6 linked regions of the Macaca fascicularis genome follow. The protein of the gene in region 5 binds, or shares a complex with, the protein of the main gene of each other region. Links are inferred from orthologs where the notes say so. Each region holds a gene or a part of one and is shown on either strand. Other genes may lie near its edges.

Region 1 (4,660 bases), on a different chromosome or scaffold from region 5:
ACACAGGCGCTAGGTTAACAGACTCACCTTTTGTAGGACATTACTTCCTGCTAACCAGTACGTGGAGGGCTTGTTTTTTTTGTAACTTTACACGAGGGGTAATATTGGAAAATACACCTTTCTCAAGACATCTGACGTCAGTTTCCCATGGTTTTGCTTCACAAACATCAACAAAGTAAACCTGAACATGGTTAGCAATTTCACAAAGTGTTCCTTGCTGACATTACTTTTGACATACTGTGTCAAAATTCTTAAGGTCTCCCCTCCTTTGGTAAAGTAGGCAAAACCTTACAAGGAAAACACTACAGTACACGGAAATACACTGAGTTAGATTTTCAGTCACCTGCTCTATGGCTCTGAGATGTACTACACCAATAATGGTTCCTAGGACTGTGTCCACCTGATGGTTTAGAGTACAGAAAACCAGCCCCTATGGTTTAAGAGTCATCTCCCATGGAAGACAATGCTGGCCTTCTGAACGCTGGGGCTCATGGGCTTGTTGATGTGGCTTTCTGGTGTGCCAGGATCTCCTGGCAGCTCCTGTATACTTCAATCAAGCAGTCCAGCCGGGGCTTAGCACTCTGAATTCCAAAGGGGAGAAATGCAGAGTCAAAGTGAACATAAGGGAGTACAGTGGAGATGCATCAACTTGCAACTTTTTTTTGAGACAGAGTTTTGCTCTGTTGCCCAGGCTGGAGTGCAGTGGTACAATCTCGGCTCACTGCAACTTCTGCCTCCCAGGTTCAAGCAGTTCTCCTGCTTCAGCCTCCCGAGTAGCTGGGATTACAGGTGCTCGCCACCACACCCAGTGGCACAATCTCGGCTCACTGCAACCTCTGCATCCTGGGTTCAAATGATTCTTGTGTCTCAGCCTCCCGAGTAGCTGGGACTACAGGCACGAACCACCATGCCCAGCTAATTTTTGTATTTTTAGTAGAGACAGGGTTTCACCATGTTGGCCAGGCTGCTCTTAAACTCCTGGCCTTAAGTGATCCGCCCACCTTGGCCTCCCAAAGTGCTGGGATTATAGGCTTGAGCCATGGTACTGGGCCCACATGCAACTTCAATCTCTCACCCACATCAAGGGGTATAAATGGCACAGCAGTGAGCTCAGGGAGTTAAGTTTAGGCCTCAGCACACCTTGCTGGGAAGAGTCCCAGCTAGGCTCACAGCCCACCTTGTGAATTGTGTGAAGTGGGAGATCAAATGATAGCTTTTTCATCTGTCTAAGTTTCATGAACTCCATCTCTAAGAGTAAGCAAAGAGGAAAAACAAAATGGACCCTCAAGAAATGTCACACGTTATAAAATAGCCCTCAAAGACAAGAAGGGCAGTTTAATATGTAAATATTGAAAAATGTTTTGTACAATGAAATGTAATAACCAAAATTAAAAGAAAAACCACAGAATGGGAAAAATATATGTGAAAGTATATTTAATAAAAGTATACTACCTAAAATATATAAAGATTGTTAAAAATATATAAAAACAGGTACAAATACATAATATTCAGATTCTTCTTGACTAATAGAGAAGATAGGTAGTTTAAAATAAGAGGAAATACTGATAGGTAATACAAGGAAATATGAAAAGCCTATCATTTAAAGAGATACAAATTTACCTATTTAAAATGCCTTTACCTACATATTAAGCTAAAAAAGCTAAATCCACTATTAGCCAGGATGGTAGAAAAAGAAGTACAAAAGCCCCAAAGTATGGTAATGTTGTCCAATCTCTGGAGCCCCATCTTAAACACTAGAAGTCTATAAAACTATTCATAAGCTTTAATAAAATAATTTTTAATTATAATGCAAAATAATATTTTAACTTAGCTATCTTAAATCCTTTGTGAAAAAGGTCAGTGAGGCAGGGTTAACTATATACATAAATACGTGCATAAATACCTACCTCTAAAATAATTTACTTCGTAATTTATTATGTTTGTATAATTTATTATGTTTGTATAATTTTTGTTTTGTTTTTTGAGATGGATCTCTGTCACCCAGGCTGAGTACAGTGGCATGATCACAGCTCACTGCAGCCTTGACCTCCTCGGCTCAAGCAATCCTCCCACCTCAGCTTCCTGAGTAGCTGGGACCACAGATGTGTGCCACCACGCTCAGCTAATTTTGGTATTTTTTGTAGAGATGGGGGTTTTACCATGTTGCCCAGGCTGGTCTCGAACTCCTGAGCTCAAGCGATCTGCTGCCTCAGCCTCCCAAAGTGTTGGGATTACAGGCGTGAGCCACTGCACCAGCTGATAAGTGGTTTTTTTTTTTGTAAGAGCAAAACAAAAAACTCCAGGCAGGATTTTAAAAGGTGGCAAGAGTGGCTAAATAAACTGACATTTCAATATATTATACAATATAGTTATTTAAAATAATAAATATAATGGCCTTTGTAGGACACATACATATTATTTACAAAGCAAGACACACAATAGCATACAATGTGAGATCAATGACCTCTATCTAAAAAACTGTACATTAGTAGACTGACAGAGTCAAAGTAGATGAATAGTGATTTGTAGGCAGAGGTTGCTATATATTTGATTGTGCTCTTTAAAATGTGCATGAGGCCAGGTGTGCTGGCTCATGCTTGTAATCCCTACACTTTGGGAGGCTGAGGCAGGAGAATTGCTTGAACTCAGGAGTTCAAGATCAGCCTAGGCAATATGGCAAGACCTCATCTCTACTAAAAAGAAAAAAAAAAGTTAGCCAGGTGTGGTGGTGCACACCTGTAGTCCCAAGTACTCAGGAGACTGAGGCAGGAGGATTTCTTGAGCCTAGGAGGTGGGGGCTGCAATGAGTGACGATCACACCACTGCAAGCCAGCCTAGGTGACAAAGTGAGACTCTGTCTCATAAAATAAAATAAAATAATAAAATATGCAGGAATAATATTTTTAAGGACTATATTTGCCTCAGAGAGGAACTTCTCAAATAACTGAAATCCTAATTATCACTCAAAACAGCTGTCAGGTGTCTTCCAATACTCTGAAAAAAGGAATTTACATTCCTACAGAAAAGGTTGAGGATTAATTGGACAACGGTAAAAGTGTTCTATGCTCACCTGGAAGACAGGTACTACTTGGGATATCCTATGTGGTTCCACTGGATCCTTCAATAAGATGCAGAGGTAGTAAATCACCTTCTGCTGTAAGAAAATAAATCAAATAGCAAAGTCTAAGTGAAACTCATTTTGCATTCCTTTTTTCTTTTTCTTTTTCTTTTTTTGAGACAGAGTCTCACTCTGTTGCCCAAGCTGGAGTACAGTGGTGCAATCTTGGCTCACTGCAACCTCCACCTCCCGGGTTCAAGCAATTCTCCTGCCTCAGCCTCCCAAGTAGCTGGGATTACAGGTGCTTGCCACCATGCCTGGCTAATTTTTTGTATTTTCAGTAGAGATGGGGTTTCACCATGTTGGCCAGGCTGGTCTGGAACTCCCGACCTCAGGTGATCCACCCGCCTTGGCCTCCCAAAGTGCTGGGATTACAGGCGTGAGCCACTGCGCCTGGCCACATTCTTTTTTTCTAAGGTAAGGCTCAACGCTTTTTCACAAATGGTTAAGTAGTAGAACACTTGATAGCTTTTGAAGTGGGAGAAAAGTATATTCTTGTTCCTTAAATGAAAAAAGACAGGGCCAGGCATAGTGGCTCAAACCTGTAAACTGAACACTTGGGGAGGCCACAGCAGGAGGAGGGCTTGAGCCCAGGAATTCAAGACCAGCTTAGGCAACATAGTGAGACTCCATCTCTACAAAAAATAGAAAAAACGAGCTAAGCATGGTGGTGCATGCCTGTAGTCCCAGCTACTCAGGAGGCTGAGGTGGGAGGATGGCTTGAGCCTGGGAAGTTGGGGCTGCAGTGAGCTGTGATTAAGCCACTACACTCCAGCCTGGGTAACAGACAGGGTCTCACAAAAAAAGAAAAAAGAAAGAAAGAGAAGGAAAAAATGCCAGTGATAATTTTGGAGTTGGTCTTGAAGATAAAGTTGAAATACTAATTCTCTATCCATGAAAACCTGCTGCATCTCTTTAAAAATAAGGAGATTTACCTTTTACATATAAGTCTCACTTTTATGGTTTATAGACATGCCAGCCAAAAAGAAAACTCTAGTACTGTAAGTACTAGAGCAGAGGATCTTCATGTTTAATTCTGTGACATCAAGTACTTTAGGTATTAAGGCTCAGTATAGATCTGGGAACACCCCATGGGCTGGCTACCTCCTCCAGAGAGGACTGTAATACTGCCTTTCAAATACTTACCATGTAGATAGCCTCATTGATGACAATATCCTTGACCTTGCCCATTTCTATGAAGGTAGTGCTTTCTTTGCCTGAAGCATAAGATGAAGTCATCTGAATGCCAAGGGAATCAATGATTAACAGAGTCTCCTGATCAATCTTCACAAAATGGAGATAACCAAGCAGACCTAAGAGGGTGATGAAGATGGCAGCAGAGAGGATCATGCTGTTCTGAAGAGAGAGCCAGACACAGGCAGTAAGATTACCAAGTGGTACCAGTCAACTCCAGGCAAAGAGGAAAAAAGCCTTTCTTCTCTTGTCAGATGAGGGGAACATGCATGGAGGAAAAGGAAATTGCTTTTATTTGGGTTCTGAGGTGCTATAAAAGTATACAGTGAAACAGATCCAGACAACAAA
Region 2 (3,975 bases), on a different chromosome or scaffold from region 5:
GCCATGATCATACCATGCCACTGCACTCCAGCCTGGGCAAAAGAGTGAGATCCTGTCTCAAAAAAAAAAAAAAAAAAAAAAGCAGGGGGATGGTCACCTAGTCCAGTCTTGAATAAAAATTAGAAACTAAGCATTTTGATTCTTGTTCTTGTAAATAGAAAGGACCAAATAATACAAAATAAAGTGGCACATGGCATGGTAGTTAAGACTGAAGCCGGATGGCTAGATGGTTTACATTTCAATCCAATTATTAGCTATGTTACCTTGGGTAAGTCACTTAATCTCTCTGTGCTTGTTTCCTTATCTGTAAAATGGTGCTAATATTACCTACTCCTTAGGGTTATAAGATTGAAGACACAGCACTATGTTTATAATTGTACCTGGTGTATGTTTATACTATAACAACTGATAGCTAAATAAATTATATTAGTGAGAGGATGGTGTTAAATACTAAACTCCCCAAGGGCATGCGTGTCAGTGTTTCCTAAAATGGTCAAACACTCAACTTCCCCAAAAGCTGAAATTGCAATTGACTTCTTGAGATAGAGTACGTACTTTTCAGAATTGTTTCCTTTTCCCTGACTTAAGGTTAAGTGTGAGATTTAGGGTTAACTGAAAAGAACAACTCTTCAAGAAATACCTGGGAACTTGTAGTCTTCCAGGTTATCTGTATGTTGCCATAGGGTAATTTTAACATGTCATTTATACTACAGTATACCCTGAATTAATTCAAAAGAAAACACATCTAACATGTCTTAATTTTTTGATGCAGAAGAATCACTGTTTCAGGTTTCTGTTAACATAAGATTCCAATAAAAATAAAGTTTGTATTCGGTTCTTTGGTTTCTCTGGGTTAACTACTGAAACACACTATACTTCAGAAGTATTATACTATGCTCGATTAGTCTTACTGAAAGTTCTGGAAAATCAGAGGCTATTAATGTGTCGATGCTCATGCCCTTAGTGGTGTTATTCAGCGTCCTGGGAAAATAAACTGAAATGTGGCTCAAAATATGGCTCTAAGCTCAACAGGGCACAATCCACTACTTGCAAGTCTTCCCACCCCCTACTTTCCTAGGAAATGATTCTATTTTAGGTATTAAGTACCTCTCTCAACACAGCTATATTTAGTGCAGTTTTACAACTTCCCTTAGTATCAATAACACTTCTGTGACCAAACAAATAAACAAAACAAATGATTACAAACTGGTTTATTTTTTATGGGAAAGTGTCAACATCTTTATTGCTAATATAAGCATTTAATGTCAAAGAAATGAAGGTAATTTTACAAACTCAATTTTTGTAAGTACATGAAATTTCTATTTCATTATATGGTTTTGTATCACATTCATTCAAATGCATTTCTCTCCCTTACAGGGACTATTCCAACATCACTCCTTTGGAATTATTTCAGTCATCCCTAACATGTGACTTTACCAAAGACCTTGAAGCTAAACAAACAAGCAAAACAAAATTTCAATGACTTTTAGATGAATGGAATAAGAAATAGTCATCACATGTCAATTAGGGATGTTTATCTCCAACAAGACACTGTCAAAATGTTTCTTCTGATACAGCAGTTATAAGTCAGAGCCTTCAAAAAACAAGGGCAGAACAAGAGCACAATAAAAGAAGCACCTGCAACTTAAGCCTCCCACAGTCCTAAGCCTGATATGCGCAAAGCAAAGCCTCTTTCCCACAAACTCAATTCCATCCATTTGAGCTTTCAGAGATAGATGCCCAAGAACTACCATTAATGTATACAGCATATTGACTCTAGTTGCATCAATTATGCCTGAAGAGTTTAATACCCATCCAAGTCCAAAGGTGGAAGAATACATACACTGGTATGGTAATAGGCAAGAGCAGGCTGTAAAAGCAAAGGCTGGCTGTGCTAGTGCAGCCCTGTGGGAAGTTTTCTTCCACAGAGGCTGAGTAGAACAGTCCTGTTAAAGAAACCAGTGGAATAAGAACAGTCAATGTAGGAAGAGACAGAAACATTCTTCTCTTCCACTTATTACCTGCCACTGTGTTTTAAAAGGTATATGGTACTAAGAAAAGTTGGCTGTTGCGTTTTATGTTTTTTTAATTATGAACTAGCGCTGCTCCACTTCTTCCTGCTTCTTACTTTGATGCGTCATCCTAGCTGCCTGTGGTATCATATTAGGAATCCCATCAATGATTGGATAAGCTATTCCCAACTCTTCATTAATCAATTCATTTGTTGATGCTTCATATCTGGGGTGGAAAAAAAAAAGAACAAAATGAGTTGTGGAAAAATAAAATAATTGAAGAGCCTGATTTTCAACAAATACCATCATTTATCCAATTCTTGGTATGGAGTTAATCCCAGAATAGTCTTCTTTCATTAAAAGCAACGATAGCCAATTCAACCTTTTATCTTAGAAAAATTCTCTTAGAATCTATAATTATTCCCATTTTAGTCAGTTTCTCTCATATTCTCTTTTTCACCTTATTCACAAGTTATTCTTTAATTTTTTTTTCATACTAGTCAGAAAAGATCCCCCTCTCTTATCCAAATATTCCTTCATTACTTTGGTCAACCCCCAAATCATCTCTGTTAATTTACTACTGGAATAAACACTAGAGAAAAATCAACTTCTTCGTTTTAGAATAAATGCTAAGCAGAAAAACTTAACTAATCCATTAGAAGGAAATCACTGGAAAAGGTGAGAGGGCAGAAATGAGGAAACTTTGGAAAGCAGTAAGTCTGCCGTGAGCTAGTTATAAACGCAAATCAAATAATTTCAAGGTTTGAGAAAACTGAATATGTTTATTATGGGAAAAAAGAAATATGAAAAATTGCTAGCAATCTACCACTCAAAGATAACCACTGACAACGTTTTGGTGTTTCGTTTATGCGATTTGTAATACTAGCGTTAGTGTTGTCAATATTCCATTTTTGGGAGCTTGGAAACTGTAGAGCTGTCTTCCCAAAAACTAGGTTAAAGAGGCTTCTAAGAAATCTGCTAGGCCACAACTAAGAGCCACCAGGCAGCATACACAGCTGAATTGCTTAAGATTGTCAGGCACCAGTTGTACAAGACACTTTCACAAGAATCTGGAGGGTAAAATACTTTTCATTATCTTGGCTTAAAAACCGGATGGCTTTGGACTTGTCCTGAATCGCAGTAATTCAAGAACCTGGTGGTACGTTAGAAATCATTTAGGGACCATTTAAGAACACAAATAAGCTGGGCGTGGCGGCGGCGCCTGTCTCCCGACTCCTGAGGAGGCTGAGGTGGGAGTTCTAGGCCAGTCTGGGCAACGTAGGGGGGCACCCTGTCTCTTAAAAGGAAAAAAAGAAAATACAAATGTTCAGGTCCCAACCCCCGAGCATTCCAAGTCTGCCCGTCTTGGGGGCTGCAGGGGAATCGGCATTTTTAAAACGGTCCCCGGGTGATTGCAAAGAGCAGCCGGTCGCGAAGCCTAAAACGCTTCGAGCCATTCCGGCAGGCTGGCTATGTGCTCTGGGAGATGTGGGACGCGGCTCCCCTGGCCTCCGGTCTCCCCCGTTCTGCCCGCCGCAGCGGGAGGTGCATGCACCGGCGGGGACAGAGTCCAGAATATGGCAGCGGAGAGTATTCACCGACCTACAAGTCCCCAGTGGCTGAGACAGGCCGCGGTCCACCACTCCCTTTCCGCCCACCGGGAGGCTGCGAAGGAAGGGCCAAGACCAGCGAGTCACCTGAGCGGCTTCTTGGAGAGCGGGCACACCAGGAACTCCAGCAGCGCCGGATCCAAGGCGCGGGGCGGCTCCTCCGTCTTGTTGCTCCGGTCGGCCAAAGGCCGCGAGCCCGACGCGTGCAGACACCTACAGGCGACCGCGGACCGCGCTGCGCTAGTTCCCCGCAGCGCTGAGGCGAGCCTGCCGCGTGCTCCGCTCAGCATGGTCTGGCAGCCGGAGACCAGGCCTCACTGCGCCTCCGCCAGCCGGGGCCGAGCTCCTCGCTC
Region 3 (4,640 bases), on a different chromosome or scaffold from region 5:
GTAATTATTCTAGAAAAAAACCCAAAATGTTGTGCAAGAAAATATATAATAATAATGCACTGAGATCTTCATTACAAACTTGTTTATATAGTTACAATTACTTCTAAAACCTGCTGCTATAATGAGAAATTGTGATGTAAGTATAGAAGAGAAGAGGATAGGAGGAGGTTAATTCCTCATCTCCATATTAGCAAGTCTAGAGAAAATGTCTGTAATGGAAAAAATGAAGAAATAGTACTATGCGCATGTTTTGTAACAATGAGGAGGTAGGTACCAGAAGACAGCTCAAGTGCTCAAAGCATTTCTTTTTGGAGAGTGAGACTCCAAGGTTGAGATGGTGGGATAGAGGACTGCACTTTTTCATTATAAGTGAAACTATTTGTCTCTGTGTACATGTATAACTTTATAAAATTTAAATTTAAAAAACGTGTTGGCTTTGTGACTGACTCTCGAGAATTACAGCTTTTTTAAAGTGTCTATTATGTACTTTAATATTCTCTTTGGCAGATACTGGGCAGTTGCATTACCTGTCTACCTCCTTATTACTATAGTAATTGCCTACGTGCTCTTGTTTGGGATTAACATGATGAGTACCTCTCCACTTGACTCCATTCATACAATCACAGGTAACTTTATATAAAAGGAAAGTGCTGGGGCAATGAAAGAGTAGAGTATTAGCACTTTTACCCAGAAAAGCAACAAAGAACAGGCTGCATAACACAGTCGTGGTGCATTCCTGTAACCCCAGCTACTTGGGAGGCTGAGGCAGGAGAATCTCTTGAACCCAGGAGGCAGAGGTTGCAGTGAGCCAAGATCGCGCCACTGTACTCCAGCTTGGGCGACAAGAATGAAACGCCATCCTAAAAGAGAACACACGTATACACACATTGGGACAGTAAAAAGAAGCTACTAACAGAAATAAATACAAACTTATACAAAAGGAAATATTTGCATGAAGGAATTAAGTTCTGATGAATATGCACTAGCTATATTCATGGAGGAAATAAATTATAATGAATTATAACACTGGTTAGCAGGTGTATGTTCCTATAAAATGACAAGTATATACTATATGTGTCTATAATATGTTCCCATTAACTTTGCCTGAGAGAAACTTCTTTTATCCTGAACAGACACTGTTGATCAAGAGATAGCAAATAGTACATGCAGACCTTGTTCAGAAAAAGGACTTTGGGGGTGTGTATCCTCCTCAGGATCGTTGTGTACTCCTTATTCCAATTAGGTGGATAAAAGAGCCACAACACATTCTTCTGGTTTTATTTTTTTTTTAAGTTCTTTCAAGTCTAAAGATGAAAATAAATCAGACTCCTGAGCTTGGTTAAATTCTAGAAAGTAAGGTATTTTTTAAGTTCCCTGGTATGATTTTTCAACTTTTCAAAACCTTTATTAGCCTCTACAATTTATTTCGAAAATCAATTCTATTATTTTTAAATGTCTTTCTAATACACTGCATTCCATGCATTCTTAATTGGAATTGGCAGCAAATAGATAATTTGTGCAAAGAGGGGAAATTGTTAAGTTTGCATGAATATTTATACCAAATGATTTAATAGTTTTGTGGTGTTGATTTAAATACATTTTCAAGGCCTGGATATAATTCTGTTCCCATGAGAAATGTGCAAATGAGACTTTAATCATCATTGTACAGTTGATTAAAATACTAATTTCTTTCCAAGTTAGAGATGAAAAAAATACTTTACCAATTATGTTTTTATTTTAATAGGGACATTTCTTCTAAAGACAGGATTTATCATTTAATTATGTTAAACATGATGTTTGTCACTATCCAGACATCGGCCTAGTAAACTATGTGGTGGGTCTCCATCAGACACAGAGACTGTAGAAGAAATTGCTTGGGTAAACAGAACTTTTTGGTCTTTTCTTACAGATAACTATGCTAAAAATCAACAGCAGAAGAAATACCAAGAGGAGGCCATTCCAGCATTAAGAGATATTTCTATTAGTGAAGTAAACCACATGTTCTTTCTTGCAGCCAAAGAACTTTACACCAAAAACTGAACTGTATGTAACCATACTAACACCAAGCACGTATTTATTTATACATTTTTGCCATTATAATTTTGGCCATAAATTAATTTGACCATCTCTCTTATTAATAGAGAAGTAAAAAATGTCAGTTGACCTTCTCTTAGATTATATTCAATGAATATTGTAAATGTTCTGAAGTATTAATTGTTAATGAACAGGATAAATCCAATATTGCATTACCATATAGCAGAATTTAAAAAAAAATCAGTGTCAGTATAATCAAGAAGTTCCTCCAGAGAGGCATTTATATTGTAATTTGCAAAGGGCAATGGTGTCCTTCCTCCTGTTTATCCTGAGGGGCCCAGAATTCAAATCCTTAGTTTTGGGGGAGGGTACATTTAGTACTTGTGCCATCAGATTTATGTCTAAGACACAAATATTTGTTGAGGACTCATTGTGTACCAGGTATTTTTCTAGGCACTGGTGATGAAGTAATGGTAAGATTCTTTCTCAAAGAGCTTACATTTTTAGAGGCATGGTGAGGTGACTAAGCAAATAAATAAGGAAATGTGATTTGATGAGTGCTATGCAGAGAATTAAGATAATGTATTCTAGAATGCAAAGGGATGACTAGTTCACACTGGGTGGTCAAGGAAGGCCTCTCAGAGAGAGGCTGTTGGGATCTAAGTATAAAGCAGGTGAGGCAAAGACCATAAGGTGGGAAGGAGCTTGGTGTGTCCTAAGAACAGAGAGAAGACTGGCATTGGCCTTAGAGCATACCAAACGAGACAATGTGGTCCCAGGTTAGCCTGGAGAGACCGGGCTCAGATTGTGAAAGGCTTTGTAGGTCAGTGTAGGAAGTGTGGACTTAAATATAAGTGTGATGAGTTTGAGGCACTTTGGGATCAAGCTGTTGGGAGTCTTGAAGGAAAAGAGTGACATAGCCTGATTTCTGTTTTTTAAGTCATTCTAACTGGTGAATGGAGAATAGATTCAGAGGAGGAGCTGGGAAGGGGACAATAACCATATCCTTACCCAGTAAGCATGAGATAGATAACATGAATCTGCTTTTCCTGTTCCCTAGTTTGTCTCAGTTCCTGTTTTATTATGGTGAGAGCATGTCACCACACTTAAGAGCAGTATGAGGGGACTGGACGTAGTGGTTCACACCTGTAATCCGAGCACTTAGGGAGGTTGAGGCAGGTGGATCACTGAGGTCAGGTGTTGGAGACCAGCCTGGCCAACATGGCAAAACCCCAGCTCTACTAAAAATACAAAAATTAGGCGTGTTGGCAGGCGTCTGTAATCCCAGGTACTCAGGAGGCTGAGGCAGGAGAATTGCTTGAGCCTGGGAGGCAGAGGTTGCAGTGACCCGAGATCGTGTCACTGCACTCCAGCCTTGGCAACCGTCTCAAAAAAAAGAAAAGCAGTGTGAGGGAACCAGCCAAATCCAGCAAGTATAGAATGGTAAATAAATCATGGTCTGTTTCTACAGTGGAACACTACACAGCCGTGCAAACAAGAATGCATTACTTCGCTACCTAATAATATGAATTAATATGGCCATAACATTGGGCAAAAAAAAGCCAGACACAAAAGAATAAACTACTGTGTGATTCCCTTTATTTGAAGTGCAAAATCAGCAAAAACTAATCTATGGTGGCAAATATTAGAATAATGGTTACCTTTGGAGAAGAGTATTAACTGGGAGGAGGCATGAAGGAGCCTGCTGGTGAATTGAAAATGCCCTACCTCTTGATCTGGGTGGTGGTTATGGTTACATGGAGGTAATACATGTTTTTTAAAAATCATTAAATTATTAAGATTTCTGCTTCTGATGCAAGTTACACCTCAATAAAAAGGGGGGGAAAAACAGTACCAGTACCAATGCCCACCTCCAGAAAATGTTGATTAATTGGTCTGGAGTAGAGCCCATCGGGGTAATTTTTTAACATCTCCCAGATGCTTCCAATATGCAGCCAGGGTCGAGAATGACTCCCTTACATGATTGGACTCCCTTATATGACTAGACTTAACTGAGTTTTAGTCAAGCAGGGCAGTAGCTGTAAGCTTTGAAAGAGAAAGCCAGCAGTTATCCGAGCAGTTCCCTCCCATCTTTGTGAGACTCCTGCTCATGTCAGCGGTATTCCCTTGTCTTCCCCTAGGACCGGTGATGGACCTGAGACGGGTTTGAAATGGGTCAGAATAGAACCTTCATGGACTCTAGTGTTTTACTGCACATTAAGCCTGAAATTAACTTTTCGTTCTGGTTTCCAACCACTCTGTCCTCACAGGTCATGAAAGGAACACCAATGTTTTGCAAACTATGGGCAGCAGTGTTTTTGAGGGTCATGATCAGTTTAGTGCAGCAATTCTCTACCTTTTTTTAAAATCTTAGGACCCCTTTATTCTTGTAAAGAGTGAGAGCCCCAAAGACCTTTTGTGTATATAGATATATTTTAAAATTAAAATAGAAAATTTTTAAGTAATTGTTTATAAATAATCCATTACCTTTTAGTTATAAAATTAATTCATATCACATAATTAGAAACAAAATTTCTGTTACAGAAACATTTCGCCCAAATCATTGTTGTAATACTAAGCTGATTCTAAAAAGACAAATTTAGCAT
Region 4 (4,660 bases), on a different chromosome or scaffold from region 5:
ACTTGACTAGACACTTAGCCCGGTAAGTGTACCAAAATCTGTTTCTTTTCATCTGGAAGAGGTTTCATCAACTTAAGCAATAGAACAGAAATGGTAAACGTCTATGTAAGAAAAAGCAAATGTGTATGTGAAACATCAAGTAAGAGTTCAGACACAATCTGTTCTCACCATGTGACATACCTTTTCAGTTCTTTCCGCAACATTCCTCCAGGTGTAGAAAGTCTTGACTATGTTATGGATGTTTTCCGGAGCCAGCAATGTCCCTGACTTCAGTTGCAAAACAGCCTTTTCCAATCCTTCACACAAAGATTTTACTGAAGGCTCACATAAAATAATAAGGTCTTCTGGAAGCACCTCAGGAATTCCACCAACTCTGGTACTTACAATCTTAAAAAGAAAGAAAGAACGCATGCTCCACCATAATCATGCCCTCAGGAAGATCAACAAAACCAGTTAAAACATTATTATGAAATGTGTCTCATTATTTTTCAAAACATACAGAAATCCCAACCATGAATGCCCTCAAAGCTTTTTACCTGTAAACCACAACTGGCTGCTTCCACGATCGCCATGCAGAATGCTTCAGTAAGGGAGGTATTAAGAAAAATATGTCCTTGAACTAAGACATCTCTAACATCCTTGTGTTCTAAAGCTCCCAAAAGACGCACCCTGATTTTTCAAATGAGAGGGGAAGAAAGAAGGCTGTGAAAACTCATGCTACAAAAGAAACTTAATTTATAAACCAAGTCTGCTATTTATATGACACTTAAATTCTTATTGCTGCTAATGTTCTCCACCTCAAAAGATTAGTATCACCAAACACTGATGTAATAGAAACAGCCTTATAAAGCAGTTGGGTTAAAACTCATACAGCGAACATTATTTCTAACTTCTGTTACACATACCAAACTTTATCTTCTCCAAAACTAGTTTGTATGTAATAATATGAATAAACTTTGATAATTAAAATGTTAAAGTGCCATTTCTAAACAGGAAAATGGCCCTTTTATTAAAATTGACGCTTTACATGTACATGCCTTGTGTTGTGTGGTTATTGAGGAAGAGACCTGTCCAAATCTGTATGTGCAGAGCAATTTACATGATTTGAGCCCTATTACTTAAATCACTATACAGTATGGCCTGGAAATCTGCAAACGCTTCCAGTTAAAGCAGTTGTTTTTTGTGCCTTTCATGGTGCCTCCAACAATGGCCCCCCAAAGTCAAATTGGGCTAATGGAAAAAATAAAATTGTGAATTCTTCAACTAGGTTTCCTATTTTATATAAAAATTTTGAAAAGTCCTTGCATTAGATTTATATCAATTATATGTATACCAATTACATGTAGGAGAAGCAACACACCTAAGGTAGGCATGCAGTTAAAACCAAATAGAGATAATTGACAACTTCTCCCTCAAGACAACATGAAATTCATCAATACCTGTCATGCAGCTGGTATCTTTCCCGAACTTCTTCCAAAATGATTCTCTTTGGTCCCTCTCCTCCAATTATGAAATTTAAATCTGGATATTTCTGACAGAGTTCAGGTATTATACCACTAAGCAAATCGATCCCTGAAAATATAAATTTGAATGTTGGAGATATTAATATTTAAACTTAAAAAAAATTCACCAGAACTACTGAGAAATCCACTCATTTTGAAAAGTATTAGCTACGCACTCCATAAAGGAGAGAAACTCTCTTAAACCTTTCCCAGGAAAGTGGAGTTGTTCGCAAACTGGCAGTGGTCCCCCAAGACTTACAATTCTTGAAGATGTAGACCTTGACATGCATTACCTTCCACACACCCAAAATATGGCCTATTCTGTTCCATCTCAACAGACTATTCTTTAAGTTATTCATTTGTGTTTACACATTGCATACTTCTAAAAAAGGTAAATTTAAGGTGGTTAAGGTTTGAGTTCATTTTCTCCAGAGCAGGCAGCTGATTGGAGATCTGGGTCTTGTCCCAGCTTTTTTACCAGCAAGCCCGTTGATCATGGGAAAGTTTTATGATCTATAAAGATTCCTATGTACCTAAAGTTTCTTTCAGCTATAAGATCCTATCAGTCTGTGATTCCACCTACTGCCATAGGAAAAGGCTAAGCAACGAAATCTAACTGCTGCCTCCACTTTGTTTAAAACGTGGCTGGTACAGAGAATTTTGCAGTGAACACTACATTATTAGCAAAATTTAAGTTCAAACCAGCTATAGCCCACTTTCCTGGAATGGGGGTAAATGAAGGCGGCAGGGCATGAACTGTTAGATCACTACAGTCCGTAGAACAAAAGGATGCATCTTGGTTCCTTTCTTCTCCAAAATGATTTTCTTATAATATATAAACACAATCTCAGGTAATAGAAAACAATAAAGTAAATTGTGCCCTATTAGTCTGAAAAAGTGAGTGGCTATCCAAAGTCACAACAATGTCAACACTATTTGAGAATCTAGTTCACTGTTCACTAACAATTACAAATCGTACATATTCAAAAGTAAATATAAAACAATCCACCTAGAGCTAAGTTTACTAATTTTAAAAATGCACACACACATAAAAATTGTATTTCTTACATTAATCTTCCACCCCAAATAGGCAGATCAGTTATAAAATAGATGACAGGAGAAATGACATATATATATGTCATATATATACACATATATATGACATATATATACACACACATATATATAGGGTCATTTTTATTAAATAATACAAAGTAGAATTCATTAACTAAACTCTGCTAGTACTTTCAAACTATTATTATATGTATCAAAAATTCCCACACAGCTTTTCTGAATATGAAGGCTTCTCATTAAAATCATAGCTATCTTTGTTTCATGTCTACTACCAAATCACTCAATTAGATTTCTAGATAAACCAGAAGGTAGTTTAATGACTTTTAACATTTAGTCATCTACAATTCCTTCAATCCATTTTCTTCCTCACCCTTTTCTTTCTCATACAAGGTTAAGAGCCCATTCTTCAAACAAATAAAAAACAACATAGAGCAATAGTCATAAATGATAATAGCTAACAGGAACTGAGTGCCTGCTGTGACAGGCAATATACTTTAAATTCATTATGTCATTTACTCCTGACAACTATCTCATAAGAAATGGAACTGATTACTATTACCAGTGATCTATATTCTTATTCTAAGAATAAAGGCTTTTCCCCACCACTATAAAAAAATTTATTCTGGAGCCTCTAAGAAGGGTATAACGCAATGGAACCTAGAGACTTTCGACTGCCATGTGAACACAAAACAGACAATGAAAATCTCTGATTCAAACTGCTTTTAAAGCTCAGTCTAACAATATTTTTAAGAACCTTCTGATCTATACCTAGGATATGAGTGGCTGGGCATGGTAGAGGAAGAGGAGACCTTAGCTCAAGAAAAGCTGGACTCACGTGTGTCATCTCTGTTACTTACTGTGTAACCTGGGTGAGTTACTTACCCTCTCTGAGACTCAATTTCATGTAGATAACATCTACCCTACAGTTGTTGGGAGGGTCAAATGAGGTATTATACCACGAACAGGCTTTATCAACTGCAGAATACAAATGTAGGTTGTCATTACCACTACAGAAGGAAGCGGGCGAGCGTGCCTACACATGCACAGAGTGCTGGTAAATCCTGACTGAGAGCAAAACAGACTGGAAGAGGAGGCTCAGGAAGAAGGCAGCCAAAAAGCCTGGATAGGGAAAACTTTGATTTATCCTCTCTCTCACTTAAGACATTCTAGTGGGACTTTGATATCTGGTCCAATAAACTCCTGAGGAAATTAATTTGTTAATAAGGAATGGACCATTAATAGAACTACTCATTCTTGGGCTACAGGTATGGCTGTTCCTTCTAAGAATGTTACTTTCTGCAGGGTGCCTGGCATCTGGAGAGGGTTCGATAAATATCTGTTTAGTTACTGAATTGAGTACAGGAAAGGCCATACCATCACTCCATTGGTGGTTAGCTCAGCTGGTTAAAATATCACGTTAGAGAAGGAAAGGTAACAGGTTTAATCTTTGTATGGGTTGTTAATTTTGCTGATCCTTGATCACACATGCGTCATACTCTTTCTTAGCTAGCTATCTCAAGAAGATATGCTATTTGGTTAAAAAATAAATTAGGTACATTTCCTAAGTTACAAAAAACACATCCCTAATGTCCCAAGAGGAATTCAGAATACAGAATGCCAGTCGGTTCACACGTCCCTGATTAAAGAATAAAAGCATGTCATTGCCTTCAAACCAGAAAAGGAAGTTCAGGCCAAGTTTCCTTGCCAACCTCCACTTAAATGGACTGCTGGGTCAATCAAGGTTCTCCATTCCAAACGTAAACTGACCAAGGCCCACATCTAGATTTTAGGCCACTCCCTAGCACACTGGCACACCACTGAGCTCAGTGCTTATCAAGAAACAGTTGTGTTTGTTCACACATCTGTTTGATGTCAGTTGTACTTGTCATCGTGTTGAGTAATTTAATTCAATATCACATAAACTGATAAAAAGAGTTTCTACAAAAACTAAGCTGAACAGTTTGAAAAATCCAATAAAGGAAAGTCACAGAAAAAAGTTCTTGGCAGATGAGGGGTGTCCTAAACTGCTGTATAAAACTGAAAACAAATTAAAATTCCTGAAGCATATCAGTTCATATGCCTTT
Region 5 (5,100 bases):
CTCCATTGGACATCTCCATTTGTTCACAGTTGCCATCAGTCACACAAAGCATGCCAGTTTCACTTGCTTCCGTTACTGACCTGGCCTCTAAAGGCCTTCAACACATTGCCCTAAAACCATCTTTTGCCTACTTAAGTCTCCCTATCCTCCAAGACTAAGCTCAAATGTCACTGCCTCTCATAAGTATTTCCTAATTATTCCAGCTGAAATTTATCTCCAGCTTCTGAATTCCCCCTAGCATTCTGCTTATTATGACACATCACACTCTGCTTTGTAATTAGTTGTGTATATGCTTCCGTAACAACAAGGTAGAAACTGAGTCAAGGTTAGGTAACCAATTCTGTGATATTGGGCAACAAAACTGAACACAGCACCTTGTGTTCTAGGATTTGAGCCCTAGATAAATAAAACAGCATTAGCACATTGAAAAGGGTAGAGAGAAGTGACTTTACACACACACACACACACACGCACACACTCTTCACTCTTCATGCCCCTCTGCCTACTGTTTATGTAAAAATCATGAGACAACTTGATGAATGTGTTATTTTTTTAATAGAAACCACATCACTTCATATGTTACAGCATGTAATTCAAGAGGGTCCCAGAAAGTATTTTCATCCACAAAATAACGGAAAGGATAAGAACCCGCACCACCCAAGCCTTTGGTTCATCTTTTTTGTTTTGATCTCTGTTCTCTTACCACAATGACATGCTGCTTCCAGAATGGAACTCTGTCTTTAAGTTCTATACTAGTTAGGAGGCTAGTCTATCAGCTTGCCTTAATAACGTAATGGATGTCCTAATTTAACTGAGGAACCTGGACAAGTCTTCCTTGATTTCAGCTTCATCCCAAGGCCCATGAATGTTTTCTTTAAAAAGCTGCAAGCGAATGAGGTAGAATGGACAGAGACATGAGATAGACATCAGCAGAAGGGCAAAGAGTATGGCTCCCACAGCACTGATGGACAGTAGGCCTCCTAAGGCTGAAAATGCAAAGAGCAGTGTGACCCCCACATAGCTCCGGGGAGTACATGCCTTTAGTTTCTTCTGTAACATGGGCCATAGGGCAAAAATCTGAATGGCAAACGTCACCATGATGAAGGCATGCAGGGACCGGGGAAGACGTGAAGCCAAGCATACAGAAGCAAAGATGGCCATGTTCAAGGATAGCGTGCTGGACACAATGGCAGCATTGGCACCATAGTCAAAAAAGATGAGGTGGCCTAACAGCATGAAGACTGACATGGCATAGATGGTGTCAGTGCTGACAGACTCTGTAAGGGTTTTCAGCACTGGTGAAAACCCATAAGTGAAAGTAATGAAGACTAGGGCACTCTTCAGGTCAGCCCATCGGGTCTGCCCACTCTTCTTCCGCCCTTCACCTCCATCAATGAGATCAAACAAAACATACCCAATCAGTGAAGAAGCCAGGCCAGTCCCAAAAAGCCAATGGGGGGCCAGAAGACCCTCATCCATATACCACCAGATAACCACAAAAACACAAACACTGCACAGCTGCTGGATCACTACACTGGACTCAAATACCACAGCCCAATATTGGTATTTCCGAGCATGGATGTTTTTCCGGAGCTCTTCCAGGAATCGCCGGTCCACATAGTTATCAGGAAAGGGCTGTCGCTCATACAAGACCTTCTGCCACTTGACCTCCTTGGTGCTAGTTACAGGTTGGGCACACATTATCCTTTCATTCAAACTCAGGCCAGTTTAATCATCGCCCTCACAGAAGTCCAGGTGGTTCTTGTTCTTTATGAAGTTTTGAAATGAGACCTCCCTGGAAATTCCATGCTGTGGTTGATGTTCTATCAACCTTTCCTTGTTTTCAAAGGCAGCAACCCAGGCTAGGCCTACAACAGATGAATTTGTCTCTGAGGCAGGACAACACAGCCAAGTTCCTAGAAAAAGAGAGACTGTGAACCTACAAAAGTTGTGAAAGGTCAAGAGTAGTACTGAGTTAAAGTCAAATCAACTCAGTTTACTAAAAGTCTGAGCAAAATGTATGTGGTAGTCACCTTATTAATTTGGGACATTAAAACTGCATTTCAGACTTGAAAATTATAATTCCTTGAATAATAAAAGACATCTGTTAGCTATCATTTATTGAGTGCCTACTATGTGCTAAATGCCTTATGTATCTTCTTTCACTTAATCCTCACAACCTTGCAAGTTAGTATTAGTCCTGCTTTGGTAAAAAAGCTGAGATTCAAGATGCTTAAGTAACTTTGCCCTAAAGTAACAGAGCAGAGCCAGGATTCAAACCAAAGTCTTATCCCAAAGCCTGTGTCTGACACTGTATCTCCCTCTAAACCAGTTCTTAACTCAGTGGTTCACATACCCCTTCGGTGTATCACATTGCATGTTTATATCCGGATTTGTGTGAATTTATACGGATAATATCCATAGCTTTTATTGGTTCTCAAAGGCATGTTATATTTTTTAAATTACCAATCCAAAGACAATAGTAAGCTGCACCATACAGAAAGGTATGAGCTCTACAGTTTGTTTAGCCAAAATCAAAGACTCAAAGAAACTAGACTCTTCTTCCATTAGCTGAGCTTAGCATCCTTTAAAGAGCTATCAGTCTACTCAAAACAAGGAAACTCTTGTGAGGATCCAGAAAGGTAATCATCCCTTTTTCACAATGAGAAAACTAAGAGTCAGAAACACCACAGGCATCCGGCAAATTTAAGGAAAAAAAATTTCATATTGCCCGACTTTATTTTTTCCATGAAGACCACGACAAGTGTTGCTTGGCAGGCCAGACACCGTTACCCCGCTCTCTGCAGCAGGGATCCCAGCCCGGGAATCTTAAGGCCGCCGCCGAGGCTGGAGGGTTCGCGACGCCCAAAAGGGCAGCGCCCGCCCGCAGAGTGGGGCTGGGAGGGGACAGGGTAGGGTAGGGTAGGGTAGGGTGACCCCAGGGGTGCGCCTTCACTCTCCGGGCCTCCCACTCCAGCCGCCACCCCTCACTCAGCCTTGAGCCTGCGAGAGACAGCAGAGGAGAAGGAGCCCCGGAAACACTGACAGTTACACGGAACCCACCTGCCCGAGAGTTCCTAGGGATGCGCAGCTGGGGGACGGCGGCACCCAGCCTTTTTCCCGCTCCGGGGCGCAGGGGCTGCGACTGTGGCGGAGCACTTCCGGGTCTGCCGCAATCTCCTCAGCGAGAGCACCCTTCCCCAGCCGGAACCATCGCGACGTGGCTGCTGCCCCCTCCTGGCTGCTCAGAGGACCTCCGGACTCCTCTCCTGCAGACTGGCCCAAACCCGAATGCTCTGAGCCTAGGAAGGCAAATCTCCAGCAATCCCCTATTGAAAGATGGGATGTGCCATCTGAAGGGCTGGGTAAGGCAGGAGAGGACAAGGAAAGAGGCTGGGCCAGTGGGTGAGAGATAATGGCAGCTTTTGTTGCGCTCCTTTTATTAAGTCAGGCCCTCAGCTGGGACTTCCCATGCATCCATGCGTTCATTCCACAGATACTGACTGAATGCCTGCAGGTAACAAGCCCTCCTTGGGGGTGCTCATGATACAGCCGTGAATGAAACAGACAAAAATTGCTGCTCTCATGAAACTCTCTTTTTTGGTACATTGACCTTTACACTGATTATATCATCTTCTCCCTCAAAGAGGACAAATCTAAGGCTCAGATAAGTTGAATTTGTCCAAGGACAGGCACCTGGGAAGTAGATGAACAGAGATCAATATCCAGTTGTCCATAGATTCAAAGCTTGGTTCTTTCCTCTTTAACTCCTAAAAGAGGAAAGGAGAAGATTGCTAATTAAACTGAGTTCATAGAAATATTAAAGGATGTATAAACAAAGGAAATAATAAACAAAGGGATGTAGTAAAACACGGGATACAGTGGATACAAAAGTCAGAAAACATGACCCATTTACTAGCTCAGTGACTCAAGGCAAATCACACTACCTGACCTTGGATTTCTTCATTAGTAAAATGGAGATGACATTATTTGCACTTGGCTACTGTATAAGATGGTCAAAGAGTCAAATATAAAATATAAAAATGTTTTGTAAAGTGTTCACTATATGGCTGCTATTAGCTGACTTCGGCCATCGTAATGATAGCAATGTTTAAGTGTGATACATTCTGTAAAATGTTCTCTATTTCCCTCTAGGCTTCTGTTGCAAAATTTGACAAGATTCCTTGGCTTAGTGAGGCCAGCCTCGTAAACAAGCCACTAGTGCTCAGCCTCCCCAGAAGGTAACCTCTCAGCCACTGAGGGCAAAAGATTTACGAAACATCTCACAGAAGATGATTTCTTCTTAAGGGATGATAATTATACAATTATCAGAGGGCGCATTTGATCCATTGAGAAACTCAAGTCAAGTGCTTTAAAAATAGAAATATTCCAGGTTTCTCAGACAAAAATGATCACTGAGTATAGATCTGGCTAGAGGAGATGAGATCTCAAATTATTTCCCTCTACCACTCAACAGTATAAGATAATTTTGTCGCTAGACACTGTCACTTAAAACACTTCCATCCTCTTTCTCACCCCACCTTTTCTCCACTGCTGTAGTCTGAAATTTTCACATTTTTACCATCAAAAGTCTAGAACAGTAAGTTCCCATCTTTATAGAATAGTAACTCTGTATGTAACTTTGAGGTACCCTCCTACAATCTTGTTAGTCCTATTCCTTCCAGACAGACTACTATGTGACACATACATCTATTTTTCAAAATTGCAGGAATTACATGTCTAGGGAGCATTTCAGCTGTCTCTTGAAATTATTGGGTTACCATGTTCCTTCTCCATTTTTGATGAAATGGTTCCTAAGTGTAGTGATAAACCCCACTCTGGAAAGGGGACATGGACAGAAGGGTAGGTGTGAAGCAGTGTTGGGGTAAATGAAAGAAACCAGAAGGAGGGCAAAGAAAAGGTAGGCATAGAGGCCATTCCAAAGGTACATGACAGACAAAAAAGGATCCACTCCTTGGCATGTGAAACAGCTTGTTAGAAAAGCCAGACTCCCCGAAAAGGGTTTCTCCTCCTGTTGATAACTACCATGTACCCTCCTGCCCATGGATAAATGACTTCGTGAGCGAATTCCCATCACTA
Region 6 (4,660 bases), on a different chromosome or scaffold from region 5:
ATGACCTGGCTCTGCAGAGGGCCCCAGAGAAACAGGAGAGCAGCGCTGACCTCAGGTAGGGGCCACAAGGGAGACACCACGACGCTGGGCCCACAGGGCGAGGCGGGCTCCCCAGAGCCTCAGCCCAGTGGCTCCTGCACACGGCCCCTTCAGAAGGAAAGGGGGGGCGTGCCTGCAAGGCCTGCCCTGCCCAGGTCCCAGCGCCCCTGGAGTTCCTGCTCCTGGTCCCGGGGAGGGCCATGTCTCCAGAGCATGGAGAAGGTAGAGCTGGCTTTGGGGTGGGGGTGGCTCTGGTCCGGGAAGGCTCTGCTGCCCCAGGAAGGGTCCCCATGCCCACCCAGGACACCAGGCTCCACCCCAGTCCACTCACGTCAGCCACAGGAACGAGGGCGTCGGCCAGATGCCCAATGCGGCTTCTCCCGTGGAGCCAGGACAGTAGCGTGAGGCCCAGGGCCACGTCCAGCAGCACGGAGGCCACTGTGTTGGCCTTCCTGGAAGGGAGGTCCGGCCCAGCCGGCATGAGGGTGGCCAGCACAGCCTGGGGCCGCAGGAGGAGGCCTGCCTGGCTGGAGGGGTCAGTGTGGTGCGGAGGGGGATGGGGAAGGGACCAGAGGGCACACACCCAACCCTGCAGAGGAGACCAGGGCAGGCCCACACCTCATCAGCTGGGCAGAGTTCTCCGCCTTCCGCGTACTGAAGATGAGTGTGAGGTGCTCCAGCCGGTGCCGGAGCTGTTCACACGTGGAGAGCTTGCTCCCGAGGAAGGACAGGGGCCAGAGCCTGAACACTCTGTGTGGGAGCGGAGAGGAGTGACGTGCCCCTGTCCAGATCCTGCTCCCACCGTTCCCACTGTGCAGGGGACCACAAACACCCAGGCCACACTCCTGAGCTCAGCGGGATAGGGGCAGGTAGGAGGGGCCCTCGGTGGCCCATGTGGTGGTGGGCAGTGCTCACAGCACCCACCTCACAGTGCACACGACTAACACAGAGCCTGGCCTCCTCACAGGTGCTGACCCTGGGTCAGTGACCCTGTGGTCACCACATGCTCCCAGAGCTGTTGCCAAGGTAGCACCTGCGAGCCAACAGCAACTCCCACGGGCCCAGGGCCTCGCCCCGCCGATGGGGCCCAGAAGCCTGGGCAGGGGTCTCCTGGGCTGACTGGGCTTCTCACAAGGAAGAGCACCCCAGGCTTCCAGAGTAGGGACCCCCAGATCTAAGGCAGGGGGCAACTGAGGGTGACCCCCAGCTGCTCCCCACGCGGTGCCTCCGCCAGGCACATGAGGTCTCCTGTGGAAGGGGGCCCTCTGTTCTCAGTCACAGCTCAGGGCCACCCCCATGCCCCCCAGGGCCCTTGGGCTTAGACTGACCCCTGGCCAGCAGCACCTGTGAGTGTGGAGAACAGCAGGGCCTGTAGACCACTCCCCCAGGCACACGGGGCCAGCAAGTGGATGACACCCCCACAGCCCATGAGCACTGCAGTGCCCAGAGGCCTGCTGGGGGCACGGGCTGGGCTCAGGCCAGCGGGCCCGTGCGCCCTCAGGAGTGCCCCCCGGTGGCAGCAGTCTCATCTGTGCTCACCATGTGATTTCTCTTTCAGGGACCTGAGCCACTGAGGTTCACCCTCTATACCTACTGGGAGGGCCCCTGGCAATCCCTGAGGCTGCCCGGAGACCTGGCTCTACCCCAGGGGTGAGGGACACCCTCTGAGAGGCGAGGGTTGGGAGGGCAGGATGGGGCCAAAGCCCGGCTGCAGGAAGTGGGGAGGGGGCCTGGGCCCAGGAAGAGCCCATCTGGGCCTCTGTGCCCACTACAGACAGAGGGACAGGCCAGCACTCACGGAGCGCCCCTCTTTGCCACCTCCCTATCCCGGGACACCTACCGGCAGGCACCAACGGCTGAGACCAGTGACAGCAGGCTGGCCAGCAGCAGACAGACGGGTCCCGAGGCTCGCCTGGCCAGCTCCACGAGGATGCTGGCCTCCACGCCCTCCGACTGCCAGTGGCTCAGCCGCACGGGGCTCTCATCGAAGCGGTCGCTGCGGAAGAGGACCTCACTGCGTGCCACTGTGTCAAAGACCACAGCCAGGCCCCCCGTGCTGGCAGGGGTGGCTCCAGCCTGGCAGTCGGGCAGGACGGTGGGCGGGTGTAGCTGTGACAGCAGCACCTGGCGCTGGTCATAGAAGATGAGCATGACCTGGTCCTCACCAGGGGCACTGGGGGCAGCGGGCGCTTGCCGGTGGGTGACCTCGCATCTCCAGAACGTGCCGCCTCTCTCCCGGCACAGCTGCAGCCAGGGCTCATGGGGGAAGACGGCACCCAGGCCCTCCAGGAAGCGGCCCAGGCTCTCCTCGGGCTCCTGCCGGCAGTGGCACCAGGTACCCAGCACGGCCACGCCCACCTGGCTGGCCTGCCGCACCTGAGCCAGGAGCTGCTTGACCTGGATGGGGATGAAGGGAAAGTGCAGGACCGCCAGGACCACGGCGCTGCTGTGCTCCGGAACCCACCTTCCCACCAGCAGGCCGCTGTCCACCGAGACGCAGCACGTGGGGAAGAAGGCCTTGAGCACCATGCTGGGAGGCTGGAAGAGAAGATGAGAGGCTCGGCTCAGAGCTGCTGCTGCCCCCCACCGTGGGCTGCGGGATGTGGCACAGACGGGCTGACAGGTGCAGCCACAGGGCCACAGGTCGGGGCACCTCAGCTTCGAGTTCGGTGGTGGAGGCCATAGGGCCCCTTGGCTGCCACCTCACATGGGCCATGCTGCTCCAAGGGGCAGCCGGAGCGCTGTCCCCACCTCCACCCCAGGCCCTCACCCCAACCCGCATGAGGCAGCCACGCACATGCAGCCACCAGGCCTGCCCTACTATTTCCAGACGTGCCGGCCCAGGGCACAGTCTCCTCAGCACCACCTGACGGGGTGTGGGGCCGAACCGAACTCCAGGCTTCTTATTTTTGTTTTTAAGAAACCCGATCAGAGAGATGTTCTTAAAGGTGTAGCACATGGAGAGCTATACAATCTCATTAGCAAGGTCACGCCAATTGAAACCGTGACAAACCATGATTCACATATTAAGCAAGAATAAAGATGAAAATTTAAAATGAAGTGCTGCTGGGTTGCCGAAACTACCCTCGTGCACACGGTGGGCGACCCCCCAGGTCCCTGCCTCTCACAAGCCCCTCCCTGGGGGCAGGAAGGACCTGCCTCATTGCTCAGGGAGCAGGCTCAGCGCACACGGGGCTTCGGCCTCCACTCTGACCCCCGCCCACGGTGGGACCCGGGCAGTGCCTGCCTCTCCCGGACATCCCCACAGCCACCCCAGGGCATATTTCTCTCCAGAATGTATTTCTCCAACCTTGTGGGTGCCTAGAAACGGGGAGAGAGAGGCTCACAGGTACTGGAGAGGTGGAGGAACCGCGTCCTGCACTCTCAGGCTGAGGGACACCAGCCTTCCAAGGTGGCCTCTGAGTAGGAAGCCACCCAAGCCCCTGCAGTTCCCAGGCCCTGGGCCTCTCCTCCCCCTTTCTCACAGGTCCCTGCCGAGCCACACAGCCAGCTGGGGCTTCCTCCTCCTCCACTGCTGCCCTCCCCGGCAGGGTCCCACAGGGCAGGAGGACCCCCTAGCGGTGGGAGCACTGCTGGCCGGCTGGCTGGGCCGCTCGCCTTCCTCAGACACAGAAAGCCCCATCTCGCCTGCACAAAGAGTGGAGCAGCCACCCTGAGCAGATACCCCCCAGGATGGAGCCCACACTCGAGGGAAGGACATAGCTTGGCCTGAGCCTGGGTCTAGAGGTCCCAGTGCCCACCACACCCTTAGGGACAAGGGAACAGAGCGGGACGCCTGGAGGTTCCAGAGCCCGCCACGCCCTTAGGGAGGAGGGAACACAGTGGGACGCACACCTCGGGGTGGTGTGACCTGGAAGTCCTCCCCCGAAGCTTGGAGGGGCTCTGGAAGAGGCCTCACACAGAAATGCCTGGGGCTTAAGAAGTCCCTGGTGCAGCTGCTCTCCTCCCATGCAGGCAGCCCGCACCGGGGCTGGAGGGTCCCACCACTCAAGGCCATGGGTTCTAACTGGAAAGAGCCCTTCTGGGTCGGGCGTAGAACTCCACAAATGCCCATTTCCTCAGTGGCCAGAGAGGGCAGGCGGCGGGTGGACGCCTGGAGGCCAGCTGAGGTGGGGCACCAAGGACACCGTGACAGGGCCAGAGCAATTCTGCCTGTGAGGGGCCCAGTGCATCTGGCTGTGTGACCACCATAGGCGGACCACCCAGCTCAGCCCAGGGACTCATCACGCCCTGCTGGGGAAGAGCTTTCACAGGGACTAAGGAAAACCACCCACAGAGATTGTCGGAAAAGAAACACAATTGGTCTAACAGTAAACAGACGTTCTCGGGGGAGCTGGTTCTGCAGTGGGCTCACTTTGGTTAAATTCACCGAGCTGTGTGCTCAGGATCTGTGGGCTTTCTTTGTGTGTATTCCTTGTGCTTCATCTACAAAGTTTACCTAAAAAAAAAAAAAAAAAAAAAAAGCAGCGCCTTGTGTCTACTGAAGGAGATGGGAGGGCAGAAGCTGTTCTTATCTGTCGGGTAGTGAGACAGAACTCAACGTGCCGTGGGGCAAACGCCCGTCACACTCCCACCTCAGCCTCCGGGACGGTCGGCGGCA

What was found.
Region 1: PIGC (region 5) and PIGH share a complex: the UniProt entries of both Homo sapiens proteins name them as parts of the glycosylphosphatidylinositol-N-acetylglucosaminyltransferase (GPI-GnT) complex. The link is inferred for Macaca fascicularis from reciprocal best matches to the Homo sapiens genes PIGC and PIGH.
Region 2: PIGC (region 5) and PIGY share a complex: the UniProt entries of both Homo sapiens proteins name them as parts of the glycosylphosphatidylinositol-N-acetylglucosaminyltransferase (GPI-GnT) complex. The link is inferred for Macaca fascicularis from reciprocal best matches to the Homo sapiens genes PIGC and PIGY.
Region 3: PIGC (region 5) and PIGP share a complex: the UniProt entries of both Homo sapiens proteins name them as parts of the glycosylphosphatidylinositol-N-acetylglucosaminyltransferase (GPI-GnT) complex. The link is inferred for Macaca fascicularis from reciprocal best matches to the Homo sapiens genes PIGC and PIGP.
Region 4: PIGC (region 5) and PIGA share a complex: the UniProt entries of both Homo sapiens proteins name them as parts of the glycosylphosphatidylinositol-N-acetylglucosaminyltransferase (GPI-GnT) complex. The link is inferred for Macaca fascicularis from reciprocal best matches to the Homo sapiens genes PIGC and PIGA.
Region 6: PIGC (region 5) and PIGQ share a complex: the UniProt entries of both Homo sapiens proteins name them as parts of the glycosylphosphatidylinositol-N-acetylglucosaminyltransferase (GPI-GnT) complex. The link is inferred for Macaca fascicularis from reciprocal best matches to the Homo sapiens genes PIGC and PIGQ.

The regions. Positions count from the first base shown.
Region 1 is NC_088381.1:135,493,265-135,497,924, forward strand, and holds part of PIGH (phosphatidylinositol N-acetylglucosaminyltransferase subunit H), read right to left. Parts: intron 4,475-4,660; coding exon 4,265-4,474; intron 3,155-4,264; coding exon 3,071-3,154; intron 582-3,070; coding exon of another isoform or gene 489-581; exon of another isoform or gene 1-488. UniProt on the Homo sapiens protein: Part of the glycosylphosphatidylinositol-N-acetylglucosaminyltransferase (GPI-GnT) complex that catalyzes the transfer of N-acetylglucosamine from UDP-N-acetylglucosamine to phosphatidylinositol and participates in the first step of GPI biosynthesis.
Region 2 is NC_088379.1:94,069,864-94,073,838, forward strand, and holds PIGY (phosphatidylinositol N-acetylglucosaminyltransferase subunit Y), read right to left. Parts: upstream 2,097-3,975; 5' UTR 2,002-2,096; coding exon 1,786-2,001; 3' UTR 1,197-1,785; downstream 1-1,196. Other genes in the region: PYURF (protein preY, mitochondrial), read right to left, coding at 2,097-2,238, 3,710-3,912. UniProt on the Homo sapiens protein: Part of the glycosylphosphatidylinositol-N-acetylglucosaminyltransferase (GPI-GnT) complex that catalyzes the transfer of N-acetylglucosamine from UDP-N-acetylglucosamine to phosphatidylinositol and participates in the first step of GPI biosynthesis.
Region 3 is NC_088377.1:9,908,994-9,913,633, forward strand, and holds the end of PIGP (phosphatidylinositol N-acetylglucosaminyltransferase subunit P), read left to right. Parts: intron 1-507; coding exon 508-626; intron 627-1,909; coding exon 1,910-2,040; 3' UTR 2,041-3,848; downstream 3,849-4,640. UniProt on the Homo sapiens protein: Part of the glycosylphosphatidylinositol-N-acetylglucosaminyltransferase (GPI-GnT) complex that catalyzes the transfer of N-acetylglucosamine from UDP-N-acetylglucosamine to phosphatidylinositol and participates in the first step of GPI biosynthesis.
Region 4 is NC_088395.1:15,129,509-15,134,168, forward strand, and holds part of PIGA (phosphatidylinositol N-acetylglucosaminyltransferase subunit A), read right to left. Parts: intron 3,616-4,660; exon of another isoform or gene 3,481-3,615; coding exon of another isoform or gene 3,459-3,480; intron 1,573-3,458; coding exon 1,440-1,572; intron 670-1,439; coding exon 537-669; intron 388-536; coding exon 181-387; intron 1-180. UniProt on the Homo sapiens protein: Catalytic subunit of the glycosylphosphatidylinositol-N-acetylglucosaminyltransferase (GPI-GnT) complex that catalyzes the transfer of N-acetylglucosamine from UDP-N-acetylglucosamine to phosphatidylinositol and participates in the first step of GPI biosynthesis.
Region 5 is NC_088375.1:30,040,768-30,045,867, forward strand, and holds PIGC (phosphatidylinositol N-acetylglucosaminyltransferase subunit C), read right to left. Parts: upstream 3,173-5,100; 5' UTR 3,064-3,172; intron 1,940-3,063; 5' UTR 1,702-1,939; coding exon 808-1,701; 3' UTR 537-807; downstream 1-536. UniProt on the Homo sapiens protein: Part of the glycosylphosphatidylinositol-N-acetylglucosaminyltransferase (GPI-GnT) complex that catalyzes the transfer of N-acetylglucosamine from UDP-N-acetylglucosamine to phosphatidylinositol and participates in the first step of GPI biosynthesis.
Region 6 is NC_088394.1:1,324,890-1,329,549, reverse strand, and holds part of PIGQ (phosphatidylinositol N-acetylglucosaminyltransferase subunit Q), read right to left. Parts: intron 4,499-4,660; exon of another isoform or gene 4,415-4,498; intron 2,578-4,414; 5' UTR 2,569-2,577; coding exon 1,880-2,568; intron 790-1,879; coding exon 658-789; intron 629-657; exon of another isoform or gene 521-628; coding exon of another isoform or gene 492-520; coding exon 371-491; intron 1-370. UniProt on the Homo sapiens protein: Part of the glycosylphosphatidylinositol-N-acetylglucosaminyltransferase (GPI-GnT) complex that catalyzes the transfer of N-acetylglucosamine from UDP-N-acetylglucosamine to phosphatidylinositol and participates in the first step of GPI biosynthesis.